2 linked regions of the Drosophila melanogaster genome follow. The protein of the gene in region 1 interacts with the protein of each later gene in a pairwise test. Each region holds a gene or a part of one and is shown on either strand. Other genes may lie near its edges. The genes, in order: Pez and CG11899.

The links.
Region 2: the proteins of Pez (region 1) and CG11899 interact in a two-hybrid assay, tested with the Drosophila melanogaster proteins (one large-scale study listed by BioGRID).

What each region holds. Positions count from the first base shown.
Region 1 is NT_033779.5:6,328,935-6,347,072, reverse strand, and holds Pez (Pez), read left to right. Parts: upstream 1-8,401; 5' UTR 8,402-8,425; intron 8,426-8,579; 5' UTR 8,580-8,930; coding exon 8,931-9,015; intron 9,016-9,801; coding exon 9,802-11,758; intron 11,759-11,819; coding exon 11,820-12,687; intron 12,688-12,748; coding exon 12,749-12,967; intron 12,968-13,034; coding exon 13,035-13,211; intron 13,212-13,265; coding exon 13,266-13,589; intron 13,590-13,651; coding exon 13,652-13,780; 3' UTR 13,781-14,192; downstream 14,193-18,138. Other genes in the region: CG9497 (uncharacterized protein), read left to right, coding at 1-399; Cpr (cytochrome P450 reductase), read right to left, coding at 1,186-1,330, 1,394-2,042, 2,128-2,729, 2,790-2,914, 4,004-4,346, 4,724-4,899; PDZ-GEF (PDZ domain-containing guanine nucleotide exchange factor), read right to left, coding at 16,430-16,950, 17,376-17,525, 17,586-18,138.
Region 2 is NT_033777.3:29,194,288-29,207,997, reverse strand, and holds CG11899 (uncharacterized protein), read right to left. Parts: upstream 7,545-13,710; 5' UTR 7,478-7,544; coding exon 7,433-7,477; intron 7,348-7,432; coding exon 6,671-7,347; intron 6,615-6,670; coding exon 6,242-6,614; 3' UTR 6,228-6,241; downstream 1-6,227. Other genes in the region: Cyt-c1L (cytochrome c1-like), read left to right, coding at 4,263-5,297; Mesh1 (metazoan SpoT homolog-1), read left to right, coding at 5,539-5,616, 5,684-6,028, 6,090-6,206; CG14515 (uncharacterized protein), read right to left, coding at 8,841-8,913, 9,931-10,364. UniProt on the Drosophila melanogaster protein: Catalyzes the reversible conversion of 3-phosphohydroxypyruvate to phosphoserine and of 3-hydroxy-2-oxo-4-phosphonooxybutanoate to phosphohydroxythreonine.

The sequences.
Region 1 (18,138 bases):
TTGAGCGTGTGGGGTAGTCCGGGCATCGACCTCAACTATTTCTTCTACACTAGCCTGACATTGGAAGTGCTGCGTCATCGGCGGACCCAGCTGCTGCGCACATACCACGCGCGGCTGGCCAAAACGCTGCTCGACCTGGACATGGGCATCCCGGTGCCCAGCTACGAGCAAATCCTGGAGGAGGTCCACCGTCGCGAGTCCTACGGATTCTTTGCCAGCTACGGCATTTTCCCCACTGTTAGCCAGGACAAGGCCCAGACCGCCGACAACAACCTGGAGAACTTCAAGGACGCCGATTTTGCCAAGCAGAAGGTGCGTCAGATGTTCCAGTCCCGCCGACTGGCGGATACGCTGCGCTACACGCTACCGCACTTTGAACGCGCTGGTGTCTTGGATTGAAGTACAATTGCACTACTACTATATATGTACCTTTTGAATATATCTACCTAGGATTTTTACAAATATGTATTTAATGATTTAACATTTCGTTCATTTGTAAATACAAATAATCTGGTTTAAAGTTTCAAAAACGTTGCCAAAAGAATATTTATATTATATAAAAACAAACTACCAGCTATGTGGAGTGTTGTAACTTTACAATTGCGCTAAATTTGTGACAGGAACTTTAATTATTATTCAGACAAAACGTATGCAGCACTTATATTTCCTTTCAGACAAATAAAATCTCCATTTATATATATAAAAATCTATTTCTTATGAAAAAGTATTAAATTTCAATTGGAATGTTCCCTACTTATCCTTATCCTATTTCGAAAACATCAAACACACATTATTATAGAAGTCAACCGTACTTTTCTTTATTTATAAAAATACAATTGCAATGTCATTGTTTAATTGCACAACATGTTTCGTTTTTGTATTGAAATCACCAAGAGAATACGAAGTAAATTGCTCGTATAAAGGACTTTAACTAATCTGCACTCGTACACAGCTACTTAATCGTTAACTTGTTACTCCGCTCATTTCATTACTTAGATTCCATCTCAGTTTGTCCCATCAAACAGTCCAGGGTCAAGCTAGAGTCAATTACACTAGACATACACTTAATCGTTACTCATTCGTTTGTTGAACTGCAGCATGAAGTTCCCAAACCAAAAATTACGCTTACATAGCTTAGTGAACTAGAAAACTTTACGCTTATCATCGGTTGGCTTTTGGATCAGATTAGCTCCAGACATCGGCCGAGTAGCGCTTCTGAGCCTCCATCTTCTTGATATACTGCACGGCGTCAGCCTCGCTCATGTTACCCTTAGTGGACAAAATTTTCACTAAAATGTTCCTAACGTCCACGGCCATGTTCTTTGCATCACTGAAATGGGTAGAATGGTATGGTGAGAATCTTGTGTGCTGGCTGATCCTCTAGCTTACTTACCCGCATATGTAGAAGTGCCCCTTATTCTCGCCAATCACGTTCCATATAAGATCTGCGTCCTGCTCGAGCAGATGCTGCACGTAGACCTTCTTGCCCTGGTCACGAGAAAAGGCGGCCTTCAGGTTGAGAGTGCCCTTCTTAACCCACTCCTCCAACTCGGATTCGTAGATGTAGTCCTCACTGCGCTTACGGCAACCGAAGTAGAGAATCGACTCGCCCACGGTCTTGCCCTCATCGCGAAGGAATTGTCGCTCCTGAATGAATCCGCGGAAGGGGGCCAAGCCAGTGCCAGGACCCACCATTATGATAGGTGTCTCTGGCTTCGTAGGCAAACGGAACTGCGACTTGCGGATGAATACCGGAACCTTTACTTCCTCACTGCCCTGCGGCTGCTTGTTCTTCAGATATGTGGTGGCTACGCCCTTGTTGATGCGTCCCGTCGGCGTCTTGTACTCCACGAGAACGGCTGTAACGTGGACATCAGTGGGGTGCAGCTTAGCAGACGACGAGATGGAGTAGTAACGAGGCTGCAAGCGGGGCAGCAGCTCGCAAACGTGATCGATGGGTGGGCGACAGGATTTGATGTCCTCCAGAATGTGGACGATGTTGCGACAGGCGTCTTGGATCCAGCTCTGGTATTTCTCCTTTCCTGCAATGCAACATTCATTAGTATATGTTCGTGGGAGTTCCTGTTACTGGTACAGCAGTAATAAGTCTTGTGAATAATTTCTTACCTTCGGGACTGATGGAGGCCATGCTGCGCAGCAACTCCTTCTCCTTCTCGTCAGTACAATACTCAGCGAGCTCCTTGAGGATGTGTGTGCGGGGTATGGCCGTAATTTCCAGGTAGTGGGTCAGAGCGGTGCGGTACGTAGTGGGGCAAGGGAATGGGTGCTTCTTGCTGCTGTCCGTATCGGTGTTGATCAGCGAGAACACAGTATCCAGATCGGCGTTGCACAGCTGGCCGAGCTTCTCCACCAGACTCTTGTCGTTAACAGGGAACATGGCCACATGATCTCCGGCATCGTAGCGCATCTTGGAACCCTCGATGCTCAGCTCAATGTGCATGCAGGAGCGGCCACCGCCCTTGTGCAGCTCGCGGTTCACCTTGATGGGGGCCAGGAATGGGTTCTTGGCGTCGAAGGGCGGGCGCTGGTTCTGAATCGAGTGCAGGCGGGCGATCTCTCCCGTGTAAATGCGGTCAGGCTGCACATCTGGCTGTTCTAGCAAACGGTACTGGCGGATGAGCACTTCCTCGCCGCCGCCCTCGATGCCGAAGTGATCGCACACGGCGGGCCAGAAGCGATCCTTCCACGTGATGAAGTCATCCTCGATGCTTTTGGGGAAGTATCACTTGAGTATGGTTCACATTGTTGGCTACACCTTCATCACTTACTTGGCATCATCGTCGCCCAGTCCCAGTTCAAAGACCCGGTTGGCGCCCAGCTCCTCCAGTCGCTTGTCCACATAGATGGCCACCTTGTTGTAGTGCTCATAGGTCTTGTTGCCCAAGCCAAAGACCTGGAATCAGATAAGAGTGGATTTAGTAACTATAGAATGGAATTCAGTTAACTTAACTACTTAAAATACATGATGCATCTTAGGAACGCGAATTTCAGAGCACGAATGAACAACTAAGCCATCTTTTTTAATGAGACTCATAATAAGTTTGAGTGTTATCACTTATCAGTTTAATAGTTTGAACTATGATTGATTGTAGAACTGAACTTCATACTACCTTCCATTCAATTTTTCTTTTCGCGACAGCTGTTCTGTTACGTAAACTATTCAAAATGCTGAGCAAATTCAACAGCTTTTGCTGGCGGAACCTGACGAACAGGTGGGCAGATGTGGCGATCGAGCTCTGCATTTTCCGGCCGACATTTGCTGGATTGAACCGCAGAATTTCCACGGCAATTGTAAACAAATTGCGCAAGAACAGAGATCGACATTGAGCACATTGTTTTTCAAGAAGCAACTAAAAATTCCGTGCGACTGCTGCCAGTCAAAAGCCGACTGCTACGGCGCGCGAACCTGAACGACGCATTTTTGAGCTGCTAGTTTGGCGGGGAATTCGAATTGGGCAACTGATAAGGTTGATAATATAGAACTCCTTTTTGGTTTACTACCAGTTGGACTGTCGGCAACAATAAAATATGCTATATTTAACGTTGTTTAAAAGTCAACGAAACTAAGGTGTATGACACCTCCAAGGCTACCAAGAAACGATTAGATTTCTATCAATTTGTCTACGCTGAACTGCTGGCATTTGGGAGATGGGGAGTAATAATAGTAGGTTTATTATCAAAAACAAACTCTTCCGTGCGCGCTACACTATCAGGTTACAGCCTATCTGTTAATTAGGATCCGCCAATGCCATTTCAAATGTTTTCGTTCCGCTTACATCAGCTGTATTAAAACACAACAAACAACTCAAAGCGCAAAAATACGGGGAGATAGCCAAAATTGCGATTGGGCGTGGAATAAAAATCACTTATCAGTGGCACAATGTTTTGATAAGAGGAACGGACTCCGTGTTTGGCGAGGGGGACTCGTGTAATCAGTATGCATGCAGATAAGACCGTTCCGTGTGATATCGCTCGTACTCACCGCATAATTTAGCCCGCTCAGATCGACATCGCCGCTGGTGATCCACTCGTAGAACTCCATGGCGTTGTCAGTGGGATCTCCCTCGCCGTAGGTGGCCAGGCAAAAGACCGCCAGCGAGTTGTCGATGTCCTTCAGCTGCAGCAGCTCCTCCATGTCGCATTCCTCGGGATCGGCAACCATGCCCTTCAGACGGTAACGAATGCCCTCCTTGGCCAGACGGCCGGCGAACTCCTCGCCGGTTCCGGTCTGTGAGCCATAGAAGACGACCAGACTGCGTCCGGATGCCTTGAGCTTCTTGATGAACGAATTGTCCGACGCACTGGTGGTGCACACTGTGGTGGGTCTGAAGAAGGTAAAGATATGCGTTAAAATCTCAGCCAAATTTGAATCTTATCTTAACACGCAGGTAAACACTCAGATCAACGAATGAATCACACAATGGTATTCACACATTCATTTGCGATGTGTGAATCATTCAGCGTCAAATAATGGCCGATCGATTCCAACAAATCGGCGGAACATATGGATCTGTGACGGAATGAACCGAATAGATCTAGAGGGCATTTCATTCAAGAAGCAGTTTTAAATATTGAATTGTACGCGTGATATGCATGTTTTTTGAAAGGTTTATCAAGAAACTGACTATTCAATTCAAGAATTGCCATGGTTTTGGACTTCGGATTAGATTGCTTTAGATTGCTCAAATTTAACTATACTTACTGTATGGAATAGCTCCTGGTTGGCTCCTCCTCCTTCTTGCGGCTACGCAGGAAGTAGAAGGCTGCGCCGCCGATTAGCACCGCCAATAGGGCCACGTCCAGCAGTCCCAGGAAGGGTTCGTCGCCGCCGCCGCTGGGAATTGCGGCTGCTCCATCAATCGTTTGCTCGCTGGCCATGGTGGTACGTGTATGACTGCAAAAAAAGGGCACAGAATTCACGGCGCTTTAGTTTTCGCTTTGCATAACATTGGTCTAGCTCCATTTGCATGTCGCGCACTTTGGACACGCACTCTAATGTATTCCACGTATACCAGCGCTGGCGGCGTAGCATCGCCTGTGCGTCTAACGGTAGTCCGTCCGCTTCCGCACTTGTCTTAGCGGTGCAAGGTACCGCTCTAGCTGGATGTTCCGCCAGCGCCGCCGGTTGACATTGAAATCGCGCATCTGGTTTTAATCGATCGTACCTTGGGACGTTCCCGTTGCACTGACAACTACGACTACTCCGTCGATCACTTGCAGTGCTGCACTGGTGCAATTAAAGCTATGAATTCGATTGGATCCGCCTCTGTGGCGACGCAACGTGTGTTTCGCGTTAGGGAGCACTGCTCACTGACCGCCGGGAGCAACAGGTTTTATGCACGCGCTTATCGAATGCCGTCGCCGGTCGAGAGATATGATGAAAACGAGTAAAAGCGTTCGAAATGCGCTGTTCCCAAGCAAATACTCTTTGAGCGGCGCAAAATAACGAAATTTGATTTCCAATCACTCGATTAACACCTTTACCAGCCGTTGTTCCAGGAAATCGCCAATTGCACTAAGCAAAGGCTTTGGTACTTGTCAATGTGAAATCGGATTAAAATCATCCCAAACAAAATACATTCCCTTTCATTAGGATTCAGTTTATGAAGTACTTAAAGATTTTAATGTACATATACGGTTTGTATACGTTTCTTTACCCGAATTTATAAAAAAAAGCATAGGAAATGCAAATTGAGAGGGTTTACTTAAGCTAGAGTTTGGGTTTTGAAATGCACACTTGGAGTTCAATGAAATTCGCCCCGACTGCTTTGAGTTTTAACTAGTGCCGAAAGCATTTTTACTAGAACTCTCAACTTAAGCAGTTGGAAGTTTGAGCTGATCCCAGGTGTTATCTTTTGTTTTGTGGGGGCTTAAGGAGCTCTACTGAATTTTCACCTTGAATTCGGGTTTGACTTAATGCTTTAATGTTGCTAATGCGCCGCTACGTGCGTGAACTTTGTATAGAGTCGCGTAATAGTTCTTGTTGCTGTGGTCAGCAAAAGGCAGAAAATAAATATTAAACACATGCGAGGCATATGCAAATCGACGCCAGTATCGTCATTCTCGTCCGATTTCGAGGAAGGTATGTGTTCGACGCTCCCGATAACAACCAACACTGACAACAAGTGGAGGTGAACATAAAATTGGCGTCTTTTTATAGGTCACCCATGTGTGCTGTTCGATTGACGGAATGACGACAGCGCAATGATTAAATTGTGTTAGGAAGCACACATATATATCACGAAAACCAACAAATGTTCCAAAAATGTTAACATAAATTCGGTTTCTTTAGTTTTTTTTACGAAACAATAGATCCTAACTCGTTCAAATGTGTATATGTTTCCTCCAAAAACACTCTTTATTTGAGTGCTTCTTTTTCTAGTTTACGACTAAGTAGTTAATCTAAATGAATGAGATGAATGATCTTGGTTATTTCTGCTTAGCCATCTATTCAAACAAAGTTTACGATCTAGTCACAACAAACGCCCATCTAGTATCACCCTACACACTTGTAATGTGCGTGATAACGCTTAGAATCTCGCTTGGCATATGTGATTTTAAAATTCCCTAAACACGATGACACTCTCGAATTACTCGTCCGAATCGACGGAGAATTATAAAGTAAGCATGACTATGCATATTTATTTCGCGCCCAAGTGGCTTTCGTTATCATAAACCTAGTTTGGCTGTCTGGAAAGGATGAAATGTAACTCCGCGCTCACTTTAACCGAAGTCCATTAAATGTAATCCCATTACGGAACCTGCCCTTTTAATGGTTCTTTAATTGGAAGAACTAATAGTCTAGCTTTAATAGGTAGGTAACCCTATAATGGGGTGTCATAACATATAATATAATATATTTATTTAGTTTGTCTTTGAACTTGAATTTCAGAGAACTAATTTTTATCCATAAAAGTTCTTAGGAAGTGTACAACAATGTACAATTTTTATATTTTAACTGATTTATATATATGTAAATATGTATGTACGTACATACCTAGACTTGCAGTATCTCCTACTAAGTTCTTAGTTCTTTCAAAATGGAACGATTTTACAGAGTTCAGTTATACAAGGCAGCAAGAGTATACACACTTCGGCTTTTCGAACTAAGCCACTTTCAATTTCGTTGTAGTAAATTTTGATACTAGGATTTTGTTTACATCGTCATTAATGTGTGTGTGTTTAATTAGCATAAAACAATATATCGGTTGGCTTTTTTCACAAATTGTTTTTAATAAATTGGAAACTAAATGCAACGCCAACTCCAATTGGAAAATGTGTAAAGTTGGTGTACTTAGGATTTTCAAATGTTGATTTTTTGAATAAGGAAAGGCAGGTTAACGGAAATTAAGAACATAGCTTCGTCGCTCATATCGAGTGCTTACTGTACGGGAAGCAGACAGTCGACAGCTGTTCTCAGCGGAGAGCCACGAGCAGAAAAGTAACTTGATGGCCGATTGGCGACCCGAGTCGCGTTTTTGGTTATGCAATTCGGCCTACGACTCGGTTTGAGACGTGAAAGGCGGCGATACAGCGTGCAAATAGCGCAAATTAATAACAGAAGTGAATTAAATTAAATTACACGCAGCGCGGACGGAGTGAGCGAGAGCGCACTATCGCACGGGCGGCGGCGAGGCTGTGCGAGAGCGAGAGGGAGAGGGAGACTGGGCGAGCGCAGCAACAGGTACTGAACTTTAAACTCGCTCGCAGGGCTCTTCTGTGTGTGTGTGTGTGTGTGAGCGAGCGAGTGAGCGATACGGTTGCTCCATCATCTGTCCTCGTCGCTGCAACCTTGACCGCCAATGCAGCGCTCGAAATATCTAAGCAGCAAATTAATTATGGACTGGATTTCGATTTTGGTAATCGGGTTTTGCTTTTTGGATTTCGACAGTGCGTGGCCTTGTGATTCGGCTCCTCGAAACTCACCGATCGCGATCTCCGACTGCGCTGCTCCTAATCCTCTGTAGATAGACGACGATCGGTGGATGTGGATGTGGATTTGTGCCCCGTCTCTGGTGCTCTTCCTGTTGCAGCCCCTCTCAGCAGCTTGGCAGACGTCAAAGCCCTTGATTTAAATTCGCTTTATTCAGTTACGCAGCGGGGCGAAGCCACGATCTTAATTTTAATTCGCTTTATTCGATAAAACGTTGACGGAGGGCGGCAAGTGCAAAGGGGAAGTGACGACTACCACGGCAGCAGCAGTACTAAATTACTGAATTCCAGAGGGACCGTCGTCGAATCGCGGTGTGGATTTCTCAGTTGCGCGCACTTTCCAGCACTGGAGTTGGAACGGATAACAGAGCTATGCCAGCACGCCACCTATGTGTCCAGTAGCTCTGTTAAGTTTGATATTTTACTGTTCGCTAGAAACCGTTATTCTCTTGCTGTGTACAACGAAGTATTCGTGTGTATCAGTGGTTTTAATATCTTTAGGAATTTTATTTAATCACTGCTGACTGCATTGTTATATATTTTAAAATATAAACTGTTTTGTTTCAGTTACATATTTCTTGGTTGCACTTGTTTTCTTTAACAGAACTAAACCTATTTTCTTGCAGCCCACTGCGCAAAGACATACCGATAGTCAATGCCGCCTATCGATCCATTCGATGCCAGCCACCGAGATACTCAGTCAGCACCTGCGTATCGATATCAGCACTTCGGTCTCTTCGTTTTATTTCTCGTGAATTCCTTTATTTATTGTCGTTAACTGCCCAATTACTATCTTTAACTTTACTTAACCAATACGCGCAGTGCTCTGGTTTGCGTGTCTAATCAGCTGATTCAAATCGGCTAATTCCAATTGAGCAATTTACTCCCCCAAAAAAAACCTGTGGTGTCGATGGTGCTGCCGTTTTAGCCACTTTTGTGAGCCCAGCGGAGCCCCGGTGGAGCAAAATAGTCGAAAAATGCCATTGAAATTCTTGAAAAAGTGTCGCCAGTACAATGTTACGTCCAAGAGTTTGTTTGTTATATCAGTGCATCACCTGCTGGGTGAGTAAGCCCCACATTCCTAGAGGCGCTACGCCCCCCACAACAACAACAGCGACAGCAACGACAACAACAACAACAGCAATAGCAACAGTGGAGACGAGACAATAGAAACAACAAGAAATCGGTGACAAAGCCACAACTTAACAGCTGCCGTCTGCCATTGCAATTGGGATTATTTAATTGGGAATGTGCACAACGATTGTCATGCGGCGCCCACTTCCAGTTTAGCTGGAATTCGCCTTCCAAGGCACAGACCACAAAAATGCCTTCACTTGTTGCATTCTAGTTAACAGTCGCTGAGTTAACAGAGGCGCACAGGACACATAACAGCGACCGTTAATTCTAAAACTAACAGACTGCCTATGAGAACTTCCTAACTTTGCGTACTTCACATTTTGTATATTATTTACTCTCGATTTTGGGCTAAACAAAAGCATGTTTTGTAGTTCTTATACACTTAACCGAATGTACTTATTTGGCAAGCGAACTGAAGACCTTGACTCAATTAAAACCACCCAAATTTCTCCAACCATCAGAAAGGTTTTAGACATTAGGCCTACGTTTCGTTAGTTAGGAAATACGACAGATGAGAGAAGCCAATTGAGCGGCGCCGCCACAATTTCCGTCCATAAAACGTATAAGGTCTCGAAAGAGATTATAAACTTTATTTGCATATTTGCGCGTGCGACGGGCAGGGCCAAATTGTTGTTGTGCGGCGAATTTAGAGTGCTTGGAGCGACTTAGGCCGATGTTTGAAGCACGTTTTCACTCTTACCTACATTGCAGACACATCCAGCACAGTGGACTGCACGATCAGCTCGGAGAGCAAGGGACAGGAGTGCCTGGACAACGTTTGCCAACGTTTGCTAATCCAGCAGCCGGAGTTCTTTGGACTGCGCTACCTGGTCAAGGGCAAGGACAAGGAGGACGAGTTCAAATGGATCGACCTGGAGCGCTCGCTCAGTCGGCAGCTGGAGAAGTATGCGGCGGGCCCCAAGATCTACTTGCGCGTTCGCCACTACGTGACCACTGGCGTGCGCCACTTGAGCGACGAAGCCACGCGCTTTTACTACTTTCTGCAGCTGAAGAGCGACATCTACGAGGGCCGCATCGCCTGTGACATCCGCACGGCCATACTGCTGGCGCTCTACTGCCGCCAGGCGGAGTACGATAGCTACCAGGGCGACAAACAGAGCAAGGACTATCTGAAGAAGTCGCTGGTCCTGCCGCGCAACATGCAAGGCCTGGCCAACGATGACAGCATGCTGGAGGGACTGATCGTGGAGGTCCTGCAGCAGCAGGCGGGCATTGCACATCTGAGTCAGAGCCAGGCGGAGGAGATGTACATACAGTGCTGCCAGCAGCTGGAGGGGTATGGGGAGGAACGTTTCGCCGCCAAGGACACGCTCGGCAATGATTTGTTGCTGGGCCTGGCCATCAACGGGATGGTGGTGAACGCGGACAACGGTCGGCAGTATTTTCCATGGAAGGAGTTCCACACGGTGACCATCGACAAGCGAACGATTAAGATCGAGCAGAACAAGCTGGATGGTGGCGGCAGCATCGTGGGAAGCTTTATATTCAGCGAGGCGGACACGGCACGTTACTTCTGGAAGCTCACCATTAGCCAGCATAAGTTTTTCAAGCGCTATATTGACACGGCCACGCCCTCGAGCCTGGGAAGTGGTGCGGATGCGGAGAGTGGTCCGTTGGGCGTTGACAGCGTTGGTTATGTCGACTACGATTACAATGAAGCGGCGGCCGCCGAGCAACTGCAACAGCATCATCAGCAGCAGCAACATATGCAGCAGCAGCAACAGATTCAGCAGCAGCAGATGATTTCCTCCAACATTTCGCTGGCTACCAGCGCTAACCAGATGTTGGGACAAAGCAGCTCCTGCCTGGATTTGAGCAACAACAACCTGCACAGCAGCAGTGGCATGTTGCACCACGGAGGCAGCAACAACAACAATAACAACGATGAGCGGGAGCGCCTCAAAGCCATGCTGCCCACATACCGCCCGGCACCAGACTATGAGACGGCGGTCCAACTAAAGTACCGCACACCATCGGCGGAATTCCACAATGTGGCACTGGCAATGGCCGCGCCCGGAAATGCCTACTATGCGGGCTCCCAGCCTGATGTACACAATCCAGGCATGCACAACGAGAACTTACTGTATGGTCATATGACTGCGCATCGTTATCCGGACGTGGCCCAGCCGGCGGCTGCCCTACACCACCACATCAACCTGTACCAGGCACAGCATCAACCGCAGTCACATCCACAGCCCATGAGCCCCGCCCAGGCATACCTAGAGCTCTCGCAGCGCATGCATATGATGCGTCACAAGGCCCCACCGCCGTATGTCAATCGGCTGAGTTCCTCCTCCACGCCCGATCTGGCCGTGGCCACTCCCCGTCCCCTTCAGGGTTTCCGCAACTACGTAAGCGGCTCCTCGCCGGATCTAGTCTCTAACCGCACGCTCTTCAATGGCGGTCAGTACGTTGCTCTGCCCGCAGGCGGACATGCCGGAAATATTCCAACATCTTCCGGAGCCACCATGTTGCACCAGTACCAGTACGTGAGCCACATGGGGCACTCGCAGCCCTATCTGCCCCCGCACGGCACCTTCGAGAACCTCAACATGATCGAGGAGCAGCCGTCTATAATGTCCCAGCTGCGACAGTCAGCGATGAGTCAGGCAGCAGCTGCAGCTGCCGGATCTGTGGTAACGCAGAGGTAAGTGTAATGAAGTCGTAAAATAAACAATATAACAATACTTTTCGCTACGATCTTGCAGTTCACCTACCCTGCCGCCGAGTGGATATCGTAGTTCTGTGCCCCCGCCAGCGAGCAGCCCGCTTCCACCGCCGGTGGTTGCTTCGTCCCATAAATCGGCGACACCGGCGCCACTACAGAGGAGCTTGGTGAACGGTTCCATCGAGCCCATCTACGAGAATGTACCCCTGCCACAGAGAGCCTCTGGTGGCAGCAGTGGTGCCGCAAATACTGAGGCTATGCGTCAAAGAGCTTCCTCCATACAGTCCGCCCCAGGCGTTGTCCCTGTTCCAGCTGCTCGAAACGCCAGCTCCAACAACGTAGTTACTGTAACTGTCAATTCTCCACCCGACGATGGAAACATAAAGAAGTACGGCGCAGACCGAGCAGCAAGCACGGAGCTGCTGTTCCTGGAACCGCAGGCTCCTAAGCGGACCAATCGAGCCGCCAGTGCAGCGCCAGATATGGGAGCCACACCTCCGCCACGACAACATCGCTCAACAGCAAGCCTAAACAAGTCGTCGACGGTCGACATGATCACGCCGGCCGGAGACACGCTGCAACAGCAGTTCAGTGCCATGAATCTTTCTGCCAACACATCAGCTTCCACATCCTCCATGTTCAACTCAACGCTGGACACCACGTCCTCATCGGCGGCCAGCAAAGACTTAAAACGCAAGAAGCGATGGAACTTTTTGTCACGCAGCAAAACACCCGACAAACAGAAATCCGCCACACTGGGCAGGGAAAAGGCCACAACGGCAGGTCAGCACTCCAAGCTGGCGGCAAAGCTAAAGCTAGCCCAAGACGATCTCAACCTGCCAAATCGTTGGTCCACAGGCGTCAACAAGCCGCAGCCCATTTCTGGACGATATTCCAAGGACAAACTGGTAGGTTAAAAGTTATTACGATTTGGAATCCATTTCGATTAAAGCGCTTGTCAACTTCCAGTGCCAAATCCTAGACCAAAAGCTAAGTGACTCGCAGCTATTCATGGAGTTCGAACGCATACCGAAACGACGGGAGCATGCCCTATACGAATGCGCCCTGCTGGAGGAGAACGAGCCAAAGAACCACGACCCCAACTTTTTACCCTATGACGACAACAGAGTGCGACTGACTCCATGCCGAGACAATCGGCATGGTTACGTTAATGCTTCCTCCATATCTGTACGTTCAGTTGACACTCAAGATGAAAAGCAAATTGTGTATTTCATTGTTGGAACATCTTTTTCAGGCCACTGTGGGCACAAAGCAGCGGTTCTATATTGTGGCCCAGTCGCCACAAGAACCGCTTACCATGCGCATCTTCTGGCAGTGTGTATGGGAGGCGGATGTGTATTTGGTGGTCCAGCTAACCGAGGATATGAGCTATATTCCTCGTAACAGTCATCAGCGTCTCGAGTTTGGACAGGTAAGTGAACCGCATAAGCTTTTAGTTCTGTTCCTCAAAGGTTCTACTTTCTAGTTCCAAGTGTATCAGGAATTCTCACAAACCACCGATCGATGCACCACCATCAAGCTGCGCCTTTACCACGTACCATCGCGTCGATACCGATCCGTTTGGTATTTGCAGTACGCTGACTGGGCGGAGCAGAATTGTCCACGCGATGTGAATCACTTCCTCGATTTCCTCGAGGAGCTGAATTCCGTGCGATTGGCATCTACGCAAGAAGTTCCGCCGGGACATAACACAAACCCACCAGTTCTTCTTCACTGTCTGGAGGGAGGCGGTCGTTCGGGAGTGACACTGACCGCCGATCTTTTACTGTACACGTTGGACCACAATGAGGTGAGTGGAGAAAGGGAATTTATTATTCCATTTCCATAAGCATTATTTTCTTACGATCGCAGGACCTGGATATACCTCGAGTTATCGGGCAGCTAAGGCATCAACGGGATAGCATTATACCATCCCTGGCGCAATACAAGTTCATATACAATCTGCTTATTACCTATTTGAAGCGCACGAGGCTCATCTGAGGTTCTAAAGAATATGGAAAACTTGGCAAGAAGTATTTTTCTTTGTTTAAGCTTAAATTGTTTATATCGAACAAATTTCCTTTAGTTCTCGTTTTAAAAAATCAGTACAACTCCGTTCAGCAATTTTATATTTCTACTGGCAGCTGTTGTCCCTATAATCGTTAAATTTTAATACCAACTAGTTTTTAAGCTCTAGATTTGTTATAAAAACAGAACCCCCCACAATGGCCACTTTATAGATACATACATAAATATAAAAGTAGCGGATAGGTAGTTGTTTTGGCAAGCCAGTAAAAATGCCAGTTAACTAACCACAGCCACAACAATTGGGCTTAGGTTTAAAGCCGAACTATTTATACATGTGTATTTTAATAAATTTCGAAATAAAAACAATAACAAATTGATAAAAAGCAATAAGCACATTTAACTCTTATGCGACGTGCAACGTGTTTTTTCTTAAAAAATTATTCCCAGCGCGCTTCCCCAAAGAAAAGGTTTGAAAAAAATTAATTTTATTTTTGTTAATTTGGTTTGATGGTCCGAAACATAGTTAATACATGTATAATTGTCACATAGGTCTTAAAATATGAATTAAATGTACTTCATGTTAGTTTGGCGATCTGAAGACATTTTCATACAATACGTGGCAAAAAGGAAGACATATTATGAATTTATAGTCTTCAGATTTAGGACAAATTTTGTTTTTCGGTAATAAAAGCCAGACATTCATTTTTTAGACGTCTTCTCAATTTGATGAAAAGTTTAAAAATCTTTTTAAACTGCCCACTTTTTTCATTCCCCACTAGAATATTGAACATTTATAAGAAGACGTCCCCAGGATCTTTGAAAATCAAAGATACAATTAAAAGATCACTTTTTCAAGGTAATATTCATTATTAAATAATTTTATTTTTGTGCACCTTTGCAGACAAGTTGCAAAAATAAACGCTCAACATGACATTGAAAAAAGTCTCTCGTCGTTTTTCAAAGATTCCTAAAAATCTAATCATTTAGCTGCACAACATACAGATATATAAATACAGAAAATCATTAAGCAAAATACGCGATTTTTATTTATACAGAGTACAATTTAGGCTTCGATCTAATGTTTTTCTTAAGCCTTAAAAAGCAAATTTGGTATTTAGTCTAACTTAAAAGTACAAAGAGCACAATGTATACATATATAGCATATCCAATATCGTTTGATTTGATTTGTTTTTGTTTTCTCGAATTCAGCAAAACATAGTTTGATTTTCTCTTTGAAAATGAAGCGAGAAACGGGTCTCCACTCATGGTTTGTATATATATAGAGATTTCTTGTATATAGCTTGTATATGTAGGTTGTATATATATATATTGTATATATCTATGTATATAACAGGCATTCATGCACACACAAATATTCATATTGGAGTTCCTTACGTGTGAGAAAAATACGATCAAAAATGATTATATATGGTTTTTTATATGTCTCAGGTTTGTCTTTCATAACTTATTTCTGTCTTTCGTGGAAGTTGTACTTTGATGATTTCCTTTTTTTGTGGGCTAGTCTAGGTATTGCTAGGAGTTGTATAATTCTATACACAAATATTGCATTTGTCTGCCACTCTTCCTTTGAATTCTTCGGAACGAATGGTCAAAAATATATTCGAAAAAATGTTTTGTCTATCTCTCTTTTGGGCTTAACAACTAAATATTTGGAATTGGAGCGAAGGTTTTTCGTAATATATATGTATATATAGCGTTTAAAGGAGTATGCTTGTAATAAAATTAGCTTGTACATAAGTATTAAAGAAGTATAGATTAATGGAATTAATGGTGGCTTCGAGTTGATTCCGTTTGCGTTTCTATATCAATTGATCGTCTCGTTGTTGTGCTGGGCTTTAAAATTATTTTGTTCTGTTCTTACACTTGTAAATGCCGACGAAAAGTCTTCAAAAGAGTTTTAGTTGGGTCTGCTGAGAGGGTCTGCCTGCAGACGTTTTCTTTTAAGAGAAAAGGCAACTTCTACGCTGGCGGTGAATGATGGGTAGAAAGTGTGTACAAAGAATTTAGCTAAATTAAATAATAAATGGTAAGCCCTAACTAAAATTAAATTCTCAGTTACTAAATGTAAATACGCAATACAAATGGATGCTAGTAATATTTTTGCAGCTCCGTAAAGGGTAAAGGTGATCGGGGATACGTTGTTTCTGATTGCTGGCGAAATTGAAACCACAACCATTCACAAATTTTGGCAACTCTATCTGCTGAAATGAAAAGATCAAATTGTTAGAATTGATGACCTAAAAGTAATAATAACGTTTCAGAACCATAAGTACTCAAGTTGTTCTTGGAAACTGAAAGTCGGAGCTTATCTTGTGAGCTTATGGTTCTTAAGATATAACATAAAATCGACATACTTACAACTAATTAAATAAACATATAGCGGTTAAAACAGCACAATTTGATTCATTATTGATTCATGGGTGGCATGGGACATATGGTACACTTGGTGCTATCCATAAAATTTGGCGGGCCACCTGTGAAGGAGAAATTGATATAATTAAGGTGGGGTACATAAGTCAAGCTTACAAAACGTAGATCAAAACGTAGCTAGAAAAACAAGTCGAACAACCCGGTGTAACGCCTATTTCAGAAAGACCCGACTCAACTCCCGCTTTGCATTTGTTGTTTTGTCGTTGGACGGCAATCTGGAAACCATCTCTCTTGCGGTCCGGTCGTCTTACCATGCATGTGGTTCAGGTGCCTGCTGCCAGCAGTGCCCTGGTGGTGGCTGTAGATACTGCCCAGGGGGGGCACATTGTACGGCGGTGGCGGCGGTGGTGGCATGGCCAAAGATTGCTGCTGCTGCTGGAGCTGCTGATGCTGGCTGCGTGCGTGCATGTATGCTGCTGCCGTCGGCGGTGCAGAAAGCTGAATGGTTGCTGTGGGCTGGTTCGGTGGAGGTGTAGGTGTGCTGGGTGGTGTGTTTGTGCTTTGACAGGGACTGTTCAAGTTGCGGGTCACCGCGTTGTTCGATATCTGCTGAAGCAGCCGGCAGTCGGCTGCGGTATAGACCGGCGGGGATGGCTCGTGTTGCGAGCTGTTCTGTTGTTGCTGCTGCTGGTACTGCAAGTGGTAATGCTGCTGCTGATGCACGTAGCCGCTGTCGCAGGACGATATGGAACCTGTTGGGTGTGAAATTAGGGTAAAGAATATGTCTGAGATGGCGTCCGTGAAATGGTGACCTCCATTTGGGATTCATTTCATGGTACCACGTGGTGCAAGTGTGTGTGTTGTGTTTTCGTGTTATATGTATGTTTGCGTTTGTGTAGCCGACAACCAAACAATTCCAACCCAACCACCAAAAACTATACGTTTCAAATGCAAGCAGGGAACGGAGTCTAAAGCGCAACTAACAAGGTATAAATAACTGGCGACTACGATTTATTTATCGGGATTCGATTGCTAAGCATACTCGAAAAACATTTCTGAAGAATTCCGAAATTAAGAAACGCACTATATGAGCATACTTAGCATCGGGTTTTAGTAGCAGCTAATAACGTATTTTTAGTCGATATACAACTACGATCTTAGGGCACGAGGCACTTACCGGAAGTCACGGATTTGCGCAATGGTAAATCGCGAAATGTAGTTACACTACTGCTCTCTAGGGAGAGATCGACCGAGGGTAGAGGCGGCGGCGGAGCTGGTGTGTCCGAGTGCGACCGCTCGTGTATTGCGCGAGAGGGAATAATGTTGCCTGCAATGGACCCAATTAAGTTAGTGATATACAATGAGGCAGTGATAATAATTCCATTACCTCCAGAAGCCAGTCGTCGGTGGGAGCAGGGACTAGGACTTGGCGTACACTGAACATTGGCCACTGCACTGGTTGCCGGTGAGGTGACCACTCCTCCAGGCGACGGTGTGCTGAAACCATGTGCCGCATGCATGTGATGCAGTGGTGGAATCACTCCGGCCATTGTGGATCCGTGACGCGGCACGAATGGCTGGTGCGGCCGAATCTTGGAGGACTCTGACAGCGATAGCATCTTTTTAACTGCTTGTGGCGAGGCTGTGCCAAACTTTGGGCCGTTGTTATGCATCTGTCTTCTTTGATGATCGCTGGTAGAACTCGTTGAGCTGGTAGTCGAAAGGGTGGGTGAACTTGGGTGCCTCTTGCGAAGCGATAGTGAGGAGTTCGGCGCCGAGCTGGAGCTGGTATGCGAATAGATGCTCAGTTGGTCGCCGGCATTGAGGCTGGAACTGCCCCCGCCACCACCACCGGAGCTGCCACCAGCACCGCCACTGATGCTGCCTCCACCACCGCTTCGGTGTGAGGTATTTCCGTGCGAGATGCTGCCCGAGTACGT
Region 2 (13,710 bases), on another chromosome or scaffold:
CAATAGCAATAGCAACAGGCATGATGACTGGTACTATGGAGTGTGTGGTGTGTGTTGTGCGGTGTGTTGTGTGTGGTATGACTGCGACTGTCGATGACGTTGGCTTCAAAGAGAAAAGCGCGGGCTCGGCTCAAGCGAAACGATCACGAGCACTGGCATTGGACTGGGAGATTGGGATTGGTGCGATCAGTGGGATGGCCAAGATCGGCTGCGTCTTGGCCACGATGATGATTTAAGCAGAGCAGCGCATTGAGAAAACTATTACGAAATGATCAGAGCAGCTAAAACAGAATCAAATCAGCCGAAGACGATGATCTTGCCAACCCCAAGCGGCGATCGCGATGGCAATGGCTGTGCGCTATTGCGATCGTATCGTATCGGATCGATCGGTTCGAGACTCGATTACAATAATTACAATCGGCTACGCGCGATTCACCAAATCACAGCAACAACCACAGTGGGACATGCACTTCACAGATGCGCATTCAGATGCAAATGCTTAGATACATTTGAACGGGGCTATTAGATCTTAAAGGCTTAAATCCTGTTTTCTTAAATTATTAAAATATAATATAAATAAGTTCCTTTTAGGGAGGCTGCACTGTATTACGTGCATATAAACAATCTTTATAAGAAATTGAAGTCAAGACGCAGAATTAAAACAAAACTCATCAACATCAACGGGCACTGCTGATTGTATGGGTTTGCGTGTGTGTGTGTGTGTGTGTGTGCTTAGGGAGGGGGGCCAGCAGAATGAGGAAGAAGGGGCAGAAGAATCAAGAGGAGAATCGAGAGGAGGCGCAGATCCATCTTCTAGGCTCCATTTGGCAAAGCGAATCGGGCAGAACGAGAAATTGAAAAGACAGTTACAACCTCATAATGAAGTTCGTTCTCCTCTGCATCTTCTCTTGCCCCCCATCCCCCACCCCCTTCTTGTGTCCTCCAGCTACGTATCTGTATCTTTCTCCCGAAGCTTGGTCTTTTCTCTTGGCGACCGAAGACTGCGAAGAAGTTTACAAAAATCCAAAGCAAAACCGCATGCTACACATAAACACACACACACACTCACACTCGCAATTGACGCACACACAGATACATTGCACCCATACATGCGCGTAAATCGTGATGTCGTTGTATATAGGGGAGCATAGCGATTTTGCTGTTGTTGTCTTTGCGAAATTGAGCGATAAATGAGCAGCGAGAACGAGAATCCGAAAGATACGAAATCGAAAGAGAGCGCCAAAGAGAGCGAACTGAAAGTTCATTTCTCGCATGCGATTTTCCAGCGCCTTCAACGGTAGCTGCGCACGCGTTAAAACGATCTTTCAGATACGTCATAAAAGAAAGATGTTTATTATGAGCAAAAAGTTTGGGTATGCCTTCTGTGTTGAATATTAAATGAAAGCTGGTTTTTATTAAAGAGAGAGAGATGCTTTGTAGTTCAGTTTAAGCAATGCAGTTTATAAATACAAATCAATTGGAAATCATATATTTATAAGCATGCCTAAAGGTGTAATTGCTAATAGCGATTCTTTCTTTTGTGTGGACGTAACCAAATGAAGTAAACTGGCCAAATTAATGGTTTCCGCTTTGTATCTCAAAAGAGCTGCTTTGATTTTCTTCTAGCGTTGTCCAGCACTGCGAGTGCAGCAGATGCAACTTGGTGCTGGGATGCATTCACTTGTGGCCAAAGGCGCTGCTCACACAGATACCCACCGATGCAGTGCCCCCGCACTCGCACTGGCACTAACACACACACACCTACGTACTGGGGATCGGTGGCAAAGATGCAAGATGCGCTCGCATTGCAACTGGCTTTTGGTCTATAATTCTTGTTTCTGGTTTTCGTGCTGCCAAGATAAGGAGTGGGACATGGCCAGCACACAGCCTCATCGTTATTACGTTCCTCTGGCGTATGATGACGGTGGTGCTGCTGATGATGATGTTGCAAATGATAATGATGACGGAATCATCATCTTGCTCTGGAGAGGAGGACAGGAAACTGCAGCAGCATGGCGCTTTGGCTCCCAAAGGAAGCTGACCAGTAATATTTACATTTATTGCTAAATTATGCACACTTTTTTGTGCCGTACTCGGGTATTTTTATTTGCAGGCCCATCTTTTTCACGAATAATTATTCAGTTGATAAGTCATATCTCTTGCATTTTATATCTGATTTGGACATAGTCCGGTCTTTGTGTTTACCCCGAAGTCAATTGCATATTTTAGACCACTTCAGTGCAGTTACTCCTTTGATAAATACGAGCAATTTGGGAAAAAAGGATTGCAACACATCCTTCGCTGTTAAGTGGAGAAATATGCAGATTCCAATTAATCACAATACCACTGCATTTCTTTATATCATATATTCCGTGATAGATTTTCCTAACCATAGTATATAATCATCTAGAAATTGGACAATCATGCCCGCTTTGTTTTCTACTTAAATGTAAACAACGCCATTTATTAATGAGTTTGTAATTTGAATAAAATTCATGACGTGAGCCCATTTCTATGGGGTCGCAGCACAATCTCTGCGGTTTTCCACGGTGAAAAGCGTTGCGATTGCTACTAATGGCCGGAGATTTTCATGGAAAGTTGGTGCGGTTGCTGCTGCTTTTTCTTGCTTATGAAAATTTCACGCCAGTCGAAAAGAATTATTAATTGCGCAGCGGCAACGGGAACAACAACAACAACAACATTTAGCCACCACCGCAGAGGAAAACAACAACAACAACAACAACCGCACACAAATTTCAAAAGTGGGAATTATGCATCGCTGCGCAGAAGCAGAACTCTAAAAACGCACATAGGGAAAATCCGGGGGTAAATGTATCTGCATCTGTATCCGTGGAAGTATCTGTATCTGTGTGCCTGTAAGCGCGTGTAAAATATGGTAAACATGGAAATACGTAATAACTGAAAAAAAAAAAAACAAGAAAACCAGACCAACAGCTACAAAAAGAGTGTAACAAAAAAGGGAAATATAAAATCAGGTACAAATTTTCACCAAAAACAAAAAAAAAAAAATAGAGTTTACATCGCTCTGTCGACGTCGACAGTGCATTGTCATTATTGGTTGCCATAGGCGTCGAAAAGGGGGTTCCCCTTTATGGAACTATCACCTCTAAGCTTACAATCCAAGCATTGTAATGGAGTTTAGTGGGTTCTGATTAATTTGAAGGGTAGTAAAGCAGCTTTATGACAATTATTGGTTGCTTCATTACTACCTTGCCCACATTCTGAGCCCCCCTAAAATTGCGGTAAGCCGACGCCCCTACTCCTTGGCTGTTGTAAAAGCTGGCTTGGGCCTGACTTTGACGATTTCGTGGTCACACAGTGTGAAGAATGGCTAGGAAATATTGTATGCACCGTTGTTTGGTGGGCTGTTACCGATTTACAGATTACTGAGCCAGATAACAAATGAAAGTGCCCTGGCATTTGCTTTTTTTTTTGTATTTTTAAGTTGCTCCGCTGGTTGGACAGGAAAGAAACCCAGAAGGAGGCGATCGTTACAACAATAGAGAAAAACGTTGATTCAACCTTTTAGCTGTGAAGAATAACAGCACTTTGGGTGGGTTTTGGTTTACATATGCTTTATGGAGAAAGATCACCGATAAGAATCTGGCTAAGCTGGGCTTGATGTGGAAGAAAGTCTGTGCTGGGATTTCTAAGCATCCTGCCTTCTCTGTAGTTCCAGAAACTAACTTTTTTAATACTGCTTACACAAGGGAGAGGGGCTTAGATGTTTTCCAAATAGTTTAGCAGAGCTTTTAAGTGCATTTCGATCGATATGTATCTTAATTAGTAGGTAAAGGTTGCTCTTGCCGGCTTTGTGTGAAATGTCATTAAAAAATTGTTGTGAAAAAGCTTATACTTTTACACATTTCAATATTTCCAAACAATTACATATTTTCTTCGCAATGACGATTTTTTGCCATCAAAGGAGGAAGTCTAATATTTTGCCATAGGTGAGTACAGTAAAGATAGATTCCTAAGTGTTAATCTTTCAATTGATAATGTATATTGTTATTACTGCATTTAAGCCATTCACTTGATCCGTAATTTTGCATGTGATGGTGTTATATTTAAATTAATATATAATAATTAAAATATTAACTTACCGCAACACACGTGATTTCATTTCGACAGAACATATTTCCCCAAGTGGTGACAACCCCAGTCGACAGAGCTTTCCAACACTGGTTGCGTTGACATTGTAAATAAATCGTTTTGAGAGATAAAGCTGAATCCGACCGAAAATGGCCAACAAATTCAGGAGTCTGAACAGCAAACTTTTCCAGCTGGCCATGAGCGGCATCCAGCGGACATCGGTGCGTCCGCGGATAAGTTTTCCGGGTCGTGGAAGCGGCTTTACTGGAAATCGCAAGCTGCTGGGAGCCCTGGGAGCCCTAACCGGAACAGCAGGGCTGCTGATCTACGCCCTGGAAACCAGCGTGGATGCCTCCTCGGACTGCGTGCATCCGGCCCACCAGCACTGGAATCACAAAGGGCTTTTGTCCGCCTTGGACAAGGAGAGCGTGCGTCGAGGTTACACCGTTTACAAGGAGGTCTGCTCCTCCTGCCACTCATTGCAGTACATGGCCTATCGCAACCTGGTGGGAGTGTGCATGACGGAGGCGGAGGCCAAGGCCGAGGCGGAGGCCATCACGGTGCGGGATGGGCCCAACGAGGAGGGCGAGTACTACGAGCGTCCCGGCAAGCTGTCCGATCACTTCCCCTCTCCGTACGCCAACGAGGAGGCGGCCCGTTCCGCCAACAATGGCTCCTATCCGCCGGATCTCAGCTATATTGTGTCGGCTCGCAAGGGCGGCGAGGATTACGTGTTCTCCCTGCTCACCGGATACTGTGATCCTCCGGCTGGTTTTGCCCTTCGTGATGGACTGTACTTCAATCCGTACTTCTCGGGCGGAGCGATTGCCATGGGCAAGGTAGTTGACAATGAGGTGGTCTCCTTTGAAGATCCAAATGTGCCTGCTTCGGCCGCCCAAATTGCCAAGGATGTGTGCGTCTTCCTCAAGTGGACTTCAGAACCGGAGACCGACGAACGTCGCCTGCTGCTCATCAAAGTTACTCTGATTTCGACCTTTTTGATTGGCATTTCCTACTACATCAAGCGTTTTAAGTGGTCAACGCTCAAGTCTCGCAAGATCTTCTTCATTCCCGAACTGGAGGCCCAGGCCAAAAGAGAGGCGGAGGAGGCCGCCAAAGCAGCGCGCAAGGCCAAGGAGCAGGAGTGCAACAAGTGCGAGAACCAGAACGAGAAGAAGGACTAAGTTTGGTGAACTGTTTAAATAAAGGTTTTTGAATTTAAATGAATGCCGCGCTTTTTATTTATCGATAGGTTTTCCAGGGCCTAACCATCCGCGCTGTAAAGCACCAACAATTGCTCTGTTATAGATTCTTGCCGGTCTGTTAAGTCAGCTGTTATGTTAAAAATGTAAATAAATGCAAAAAATAAGGTTTAGACTTTAAATTTGAACTAAAGGCCCGTTCATTTAATTATTTCTTACAACAATGGCCACATATCCATCTGCCAAATTCATGGAGTGCCTCCAATATGCAGCTTTTAAGCACCGGCAGCAACGTCGCAAGGTAAGCTTATTAAAACGCAACAAATGATATATTTAAAACATGAATACTATCTTTTTTACATTTCAAGGATCCTCAGGAAACCCCCTATGTGAACCATGTGATCAATGTGAGCACTATTCTCTCCGTGGAGGCCTGCATCACAGATGAGGGAGTCCTAATGGCTGCACTTCTGCACGATGTCGTGGAGGATACGGACGCATCTTTCGAGGATGTTGAGAAACTCTTTGGACCGGATGTTTGTGGACTAGTGAGGGAGGTGACGGACGACAAGTCCCTGGAGAAACAGGAGAGAAAACGCCTGCAAATAGAAAATGCAGCCAAAAGCAGCTGCAGAGCAAAGCTCATAAAGCTGGCTGACAAATTGGATAACCTAAGGGATCTGCAAGTCAACACACCGACAGGGTGGACACAGGTATTTGGGCCCATCTTGGTTTGAAAAACGGAACCTTATGGATCACATATTTTCATTCCAGGAGCGTCGTGATCAGTACTTCGTTTGGGCCAAAAAGGTGGTGGACAATCTGCGAGGAACCAACGCCAACCTGGAGCTCAAGCTGGACGAGATCTTCCGCCAACGCGGCCTTTTGTAAACGATCAAAAACCAACAAATTACAGATGAACCTGTTCAATTTTTATTGTTCTTGTAAAAGGCCAGCATCAGATTGGCCAACTGTTGGGTCTCCGCCAGCGTTACAGCATTGTAGAGGGAGGCTCGAATGCCGCCCACCGACCGATGACCCTTCAACTGAATCATGCCCTCGGCCTCGGCTTTGCTCAGGAACTCCTTCTCCAGGGCATCATCTCCACTGGCACTGCCAATACGGAAGGGCACATTCATGCGCGAACGCACATTGACATCCACTGGGCAGTAGTAGAAACCATTCGACTGGTTGATCGTGTCGTAAATCAACTTGGACTTGGCTGCCGCCAGCTTGGCCATACCAGCGACTCCTCCGTTCCGCTTGATCCACTTGAAAACCAGGCCCATCACATAGATGCTGCAAGGGGAAAGTTTAACAAAGAATTCACCAGCCATGTATCATTCTGGGCTCACCCAAAGGTCGGCGGAGTATTTAACAGGGAGTTGTTCTTGTCCATCTGCTCAAAGTTGAGGATGGAGGGCGTAATCTTCAAGTGCTTGCCTATCAAATCGTCCCTGACAATGATCACCGTGGTGCCCGCTGGTCCGATATTCTTCTGGGCTCCCGCATAGATAACGCCAAACTTGGAGACATCGAAGGGACGCGACAGAAAATTGGAGGACATATCGGCCACCAGTGGCACACCGGCTGGAACCTCGGGCACAAAGTCGAACTCCACGCCCTCTACGGTCTCATTGTCGCAGTAGTAGACATATGAGGCATTTGGGTCCAGCTTCCAGGTCTCCTGTCGTGGAACAGTTGTATACTTTGCCAACTTGGGCAGCACCGCGTTCACAGTGCCGTACTGAGCCGCCTCCTTGGCCGCCTTGGCCGACCAGGAGCCGGTGATTACATAATCAGCAGTGCCAGTCTTGCCAATCAAGTTCAGAGCCACTGCAGCGAACTGTCCGGTGCCACCGCCCTGCATCAGCAGAATCTTGTAGTTACTGGGCACATTGAGGAGTTCGCGAAGATCGCTGATGGTCGCATCATGGATCTTGGCATAGTTGCTGGAGCGATGGGACATCTCCATGACCGAGATGCCGCTGCCATTGCAGTTGACAAGATTTTCCTGCACCTCTTTCAGTACCTATATATGCAGATAGAGATAACCATGTAATCAAGGTTACTATTACACGTCACGTGTGTGGAGTGGTGCCACCCATTTCACCGACCTCTTCGGGCAACTTGGCTGGACCGGCGGCGAAGTTGATAACCATGCTGATACTATGTAGTGCGTCTGCGATCTATGAACCTCTCCGGGAAGCGGCTAAATATTGACTAAAGTGTTGAGCAGTCCGTGCGAGTATTCGCAATCGCTGATAAACGAGACGAAGGCGGGCACAGAGAACAGCAACAAGTCACCGGACAGTAAACAAAACGCGTGCGGAAAACCAGACTCAAATTCGCCCGACTGGACAACGAACTCGGTTGCTCCAGGGACGGATTCTCCACCGGGAGGGTGTTCGACTCCAAGCCCCCCATTTTGGGCTGCGCTCCTGTGGAGTCCATAAAGCCAGACAAAGGCAGGCGGCGGTACGGCGAATTCGATCAAAACAAGTCGGCTAACGTATATAATTACATATGTACGTACATACATACATATGTACATATGTGCAACGCACGAAAACAAAGTGCTTCCCAGTAACCCCCCCACTTCATCGTGTGTGTGCCCCGCCCCCAAGCCAGCGTGGGTTGCCATGCACTTTTCGCTGGAATGACAATAACAAGCGAGCGACTGAGTTCGCAGGCGAGTAAACAAGCTGCAAGCGAAATGTGTAAGTGCAATGTACAGTGGAGCTTCGATGCATGCGACAGTGAGTTTATGATTTCATAGCTTTTTATTGAATTATCTGTAGAGTATAACCAATATTAGGCATTATATATTTAACTAAGGCTTAAGTAAGTTGGCTACCATAATTGGTAGTAAATTTCAAGCAAAACAAACCGTCTGCCGATTAGCAATTCCGCGAACTCTTTTGCACGCCTGGTCATATCTGCAAACCGATTCCTTATCCTTATCCGCTTCCTATTGTTGTAAGGGCAATCAATCAGAAGTGCTTTAGACCTATGCTACGAATACTTATCTTGGCCTATGTCTTGGTCAAATTCGTTGGCCGTCTAATTACTTTATAGCACAGCCAGCCTGAAAGGTGCTTAGAGTTTCCAATTTGCCGGGGCGCCCAAAACGAATTTCCTATGAGAAGCTGGCCAACGTGTCTGGAAACCCAAACGTGCTCGGCTCGTGCGTTCCATTTCGGACTTGGAGTGGAGTGGGTGGGAGGATGTGGGCGGATGTGGGTGGCAAGGTGCTGTCTGTGGTGGGCGACGGGAACTGGTTCGCCTCGTTGGGCGCTGGGATGTGGGCTGGTCATTCATAAGCGCTGAGCCAAAAAGCCAATAATTTTGCCCTGTAATGTTGATTGCACAGCTCAATGGGGCGCCTTTGGCGTCCGACGTCCAAGACGTCGGAATGGTGAATGGCAGTCGAAAAAAAATCCTCAAACAACAATTTCGTTTTGACTAATTAGGGTTTTTAAGATTTATTGCCCGGCTGCCTTAAAAGTAAGTACATAATTTCAGTTATGGCCGCTCCGCCTGCACTTTGTTCACAATGTCGCTCCAAAACGTTCCGTACTCCTGTAGCACAGTGCCCCTGCAGCGAAAAGTGAAAATGTTAATTCTTATGGTTGCTCGCAAGTCATGATTTTTTCTAATTTATTCGCAAGGAAGTCTATAAATAGTTAGTAGACAATGATTAGGCAATATTAGCAGATGATTTTTAAGGTGAGACGACACTGGACTACAGTACTTTCAAATCAAATGGTTATGGAGAAAATAATACATTTTATAGCTTATAATTCTGTGCATTAATTCCCTTAGTGTACTATGATGATTGATTTCAGATCTTGTGCAAGATGTGTCCATAAACTTTGCTTGTCTGTTTGTGATTAATACCCATATTTGCATATTTTGGTTTTGGTAGAATGACAAATGAGACAAGTGTCCGGAAAATAAGTTTTGTGTGGTTAATTCACAGTTGGCACTTGTCTATGTTGGCCAGTGTTATCTGCCGACAAAGTTGACAAAGTTGCATAAAAAGCATTGACAGCTTTTCTTTGGCTTTTTTGAGCTTGTCACTGTGCGGCGTCTTTGCCGTTTGATGCCTTTTTTTGTGGACCATTGATGAGGGGTGTGCTCTTTCCAAATAAATCAATTACATAATGCCTTTTGTGCGATTATCCGGCAAGTTTTTGTCCGCCTGACAATTATGCGCGCATTACATTATGTGGGTCAACGTGGCGTATGATTAATGAATCCCTTCACGAGGCACAATGATGTTGCCACGGCTTATGCTACTTCCACCGTCGCCTCCGATGATAATGATGATTATTATGAGGGTGATGGGCCATAGAAGACACGAACTGCGTTGTACGAAGCCAGTTTTGACAAAGTGCTTCATTGAAACTGTCCGAAAAAATGGGTGCTAAGCGGTCATTTATTTTATTAAGTTGGTAGTGAAACTTCTGCATGCATTTAAGTTGTTTGCTGTGACTGTAAGAGCACTACTTAACACTGAAAGTTAGTTCGATTATAGATTCTAGATCTTTCTAATAATTCCATTGGCTTGAGCTATATAATTAACCCACTCCTCCTATAACTTCCAACTTACGTGAAGTAGACTTGTCCCCGCTTATTTTGCGGTGCCTTCCAGATGAGCTTGGCGCCCAGCTTGTCCCGGTTGTCCGAGTGCGTAATGGCCGAGCACTCTGGAATGGTCTTGGTGTTCTCGCTCTGCACCCACTCGCCGATCCACTCGTTCGAGTTGGCATCACGCGCCTGCAGGAAGAATCCCCGGAAGACGGTGCTCTGGTCCGAGTGCGGGTAGATGACCACCGATATCTGCTGGCCGGGATGGTAGGTCTGCGCATCGGCCACCACCTCGTACGGATTCGAGTGAGCCGGCTGACTCCGGGCCTTGCCATGATTCGGCTGATTCGCCCGCTGCTTCACGCACGTGTCCGCCGGAGCGCCGTCCGGAAAGGCGACTGCGGCGCCTATCAGCAGGAGCAGCTCCAGCGACAACCACTTGAATCGATCCTTCATGGCTCTGGAATTCGATTTTCCTGATCGTGGGAAAAAACGCGCGCGCTCTCGGCTAATCTGACGCTGAAACTCGGCTCGCCGCCGCCATCGCCGGCCGCTTATAAACCCAAGCGGCAATGCCACAAGCGACGCTGCCGCCGAAGACATGGGCGGGCGGTTCAAGTGGACAGATAGCCACAGTCGGGGGTGTTTGAATAGGAGCGTTTAGCTATCCAAGAAAGCCAGCTATTGGAGAAGTCAGTGCGCTAAATCATCTTTTTCTTGACTACGATAAAACTTTTTCTAAAAAGTTATTTGTACTGTTTAAAAAAATATTCAAAAATATGCAAAAATATAAACGAATATTCCACGCTTTTCTTCCAGAACTCTTTGCTGTTGATCAACTGTTATGATAAATAGTAATTAATAGCCTTTGATAACTTTATTTACTAAACAATTGCACTAAGACCCAACCGTAAATCATTACTATTATTTTATTTGGTTTTTAATTCTTAAAAGAACTAACACGGAATGATGTGTCAAGAATAAATCATTGACAGATGCCAGCTGCCATCCCAATAGATTTTCTTTGACTAATTTATGGCCGCAGCGGTGCTATTAAGCTGACCGCAAATGTAGTGGGGCGCTCAGCTGGCGGCGGCCAACCAGTTTTTAATGATCAAAAAGCAAATGGCCAAAACACACAGAGTTCCTTTCCTGCACAGTGATCCAAACTGGGTCACACATTAGTCCCTCCCCTGGTCGACGAATCGGATTTCTTTGCTCGGTTTGGTGGTCTGGGCCCGAAACTCTGGTGCTGCTCTAAGTGCTCCATTGCGAAATTCTATGCTTCTAATCGCTGAAAATGTTGGAAAATGTTGGAAAATGCTGTCCGCACTGCAACATGTTCCGCAGTTTGTTTACTTTGCGCCTGTTCGCTGCATTTTTCAGCGCGTTTTAATGTTTTAATTGACAGGCAGCCGCCGTTGGCGTTGATTTCGCTGAATTGAGTTGGCTCCGGTTGGGTTTTTCCTTTTTCTGATTTCTCAGTTGTGATTTTTTTCTGGCAGTTCGCTTTTCCCCCTTTGATACCGCTGCGTTTCGCATTTCACAGCTTCAGTCGGCGGTTTCCTTTCTGGGATCCGCCAACGCCATTCCTTCGTGGAATATGGTTTTCCACCACCTCATTTTCACTTTAGTTTTTGGCAAGGGGGATAATTGCAACAGCTGCTGTCAGTTGGAATACAAATGGAATAATTAAGTCAGTTCTTTAACTTTAAGCATTTGCTTAAATTTTCATTTATAAATTGTTCGGAATGTTTTAAAATAGTGTTTATACTCATTAAGAGAAATAATTATGCGAAATAATTATCAATTAAACTATAACAAATGGCACACAACACAGCTATGTGTTTTATAATTCCTATTTTCGCAGCATATTTTATAGCTAGAATGGTAACTAAATAAAAAATATAAATAAAGTGCCCAATTATTTCTGCTCACTTTAATTATCTTTTTTTTTTTTTTTTGTTATTCACAAGCACTGCAAACAGCATACCGAATGGCACACAAATTCTAATTTAATAAATGCGCAAATGACCAACAACACTTCGGGCCAAAACACACTTTTAAGTGCTAGTGTGTGTATCTACACGCACTCACACTTTGGGCCAAGTCAATACCAAACTTGTTTCATTAATTAAAATGTTCGGTTAATTATTCAAATTGCACGTGCCAGCGTCAGCAACTTTTGCGCACAAAACTAAATTGTTTGCTTTTGGCAATGTGTTTGTGCTGAAACGTGATAAATAATACTCTAGATTGCTGAACTTTACAATTGGACATTGGCGCTTATTTGCATTTCAAGTTGGCCGCACTGCAAAGGTCAGTTAACCCGGTGGCTTTGCTTTAACCGAAGGATCAGCGGGCCGAAAGGACATATCATCCATTATGGATGCGGCGAATGCGAATTTTCAACTCCCTGCACTGGGCAGCAGCATACCGAAATTTTCGGCCATTGAAAATGACATTTGCGCCACATCACACCAGGTCTTGTTACGCTACACAGAGAAAAATATACTAAAAATATTATAGAATTTCATTTTATTATGAATTAATCTATTCATATTTGTTTGATATTTTTGATTTTTTTTATATATAAAATACACTATTTACAAAACTTTAACGCATCAAGTCATGCCATTATCATAGAGTTTAAAAATATAAGTAAGCTAAATATTTTATCAATTAATATCTATATATAATATATATATAATATGCAAGCTGGTAATGTGTTTCTTTCAGTGCATCCATCCTCCGGCCAATGCATGCGAAATTTACTTCAACCTAAAGTACGAAAAAAGTGGGCAAACGAAGGAAAACTGCCAGCCGCCTTAAACCGATGTGCCATGTAAATAGTGGAGCTTGTGGGCTCAGAGGGGGGGATGGAGCGGTGGCCCGAGGAGGGGTCGAAAAATCCACTTCATCGGCGACGGTTGGCGCGGAAAAGTGTGTCACCTGCAGGCGGGAAATGCGCAGGTCCTGTGAGAGGAAAAGCGGCTGCCGCCTGATGGTGACTTTTCCTCGCAGACTTTTCACCAACGCCACATTCGCATTTTCCACCAAGGCTGTGGGAAATTCGGCTCAGAACGTGGTCAGACGTCGAAGCGCGTGGTCGTCGAGTTTTCCGAGAAAATCCAGTGGGAAAGCAAACAGTGCGAGGCAGCAGCAGCAGCAGCAACAACAACTATCTAGAGCAAAGGAAATTGTGAGCAATTTGTATTTTAGTAGTATATTTCTTACGCGCGTGAGTGTGTGTGTGTGTGTGAGTCAGTGAATGAGTGTGTAAGTGTGTGAATGTGGTGATGAACCGAACAGCGTGCAACAAGAATAAAAAACGAATGCCCAAAAGTGCCAAACACAAACAACAACAAAAAAAACGAGATGAAAACAGAATATACATAAATGGCAAGCAAATATTTTTCTTCTTGAGCAGGGCAAAGAAAATCACAAACTGCAGCGTATCCATGCCCTCAAACCAAAAAAAAAAGAAAAACAAAAAAATAAAACGAAGAAAACAGTGAAAAGCAATCAAAGTAATAAACGAAAAGGGGGGAATGGCGAACCGAACTGAAAGCAAATCAAAAAAATCAATGCCCTTTCTGCGGAATTATACGTTGCGTATACGTGATATGTACCGAGGTAGCCAAGTCAAATAATAATAAAGGAAATTCTCACGTGACGCATAAAAAAGCCAAGCTCGCACACACACACAGCGATGGCAACAGTAACACGGCATGCCCCTCAAACATACGCACACAGCGGTAAACTTACTACCTGGGACACAAATTGAAGTTGGCGAAACATA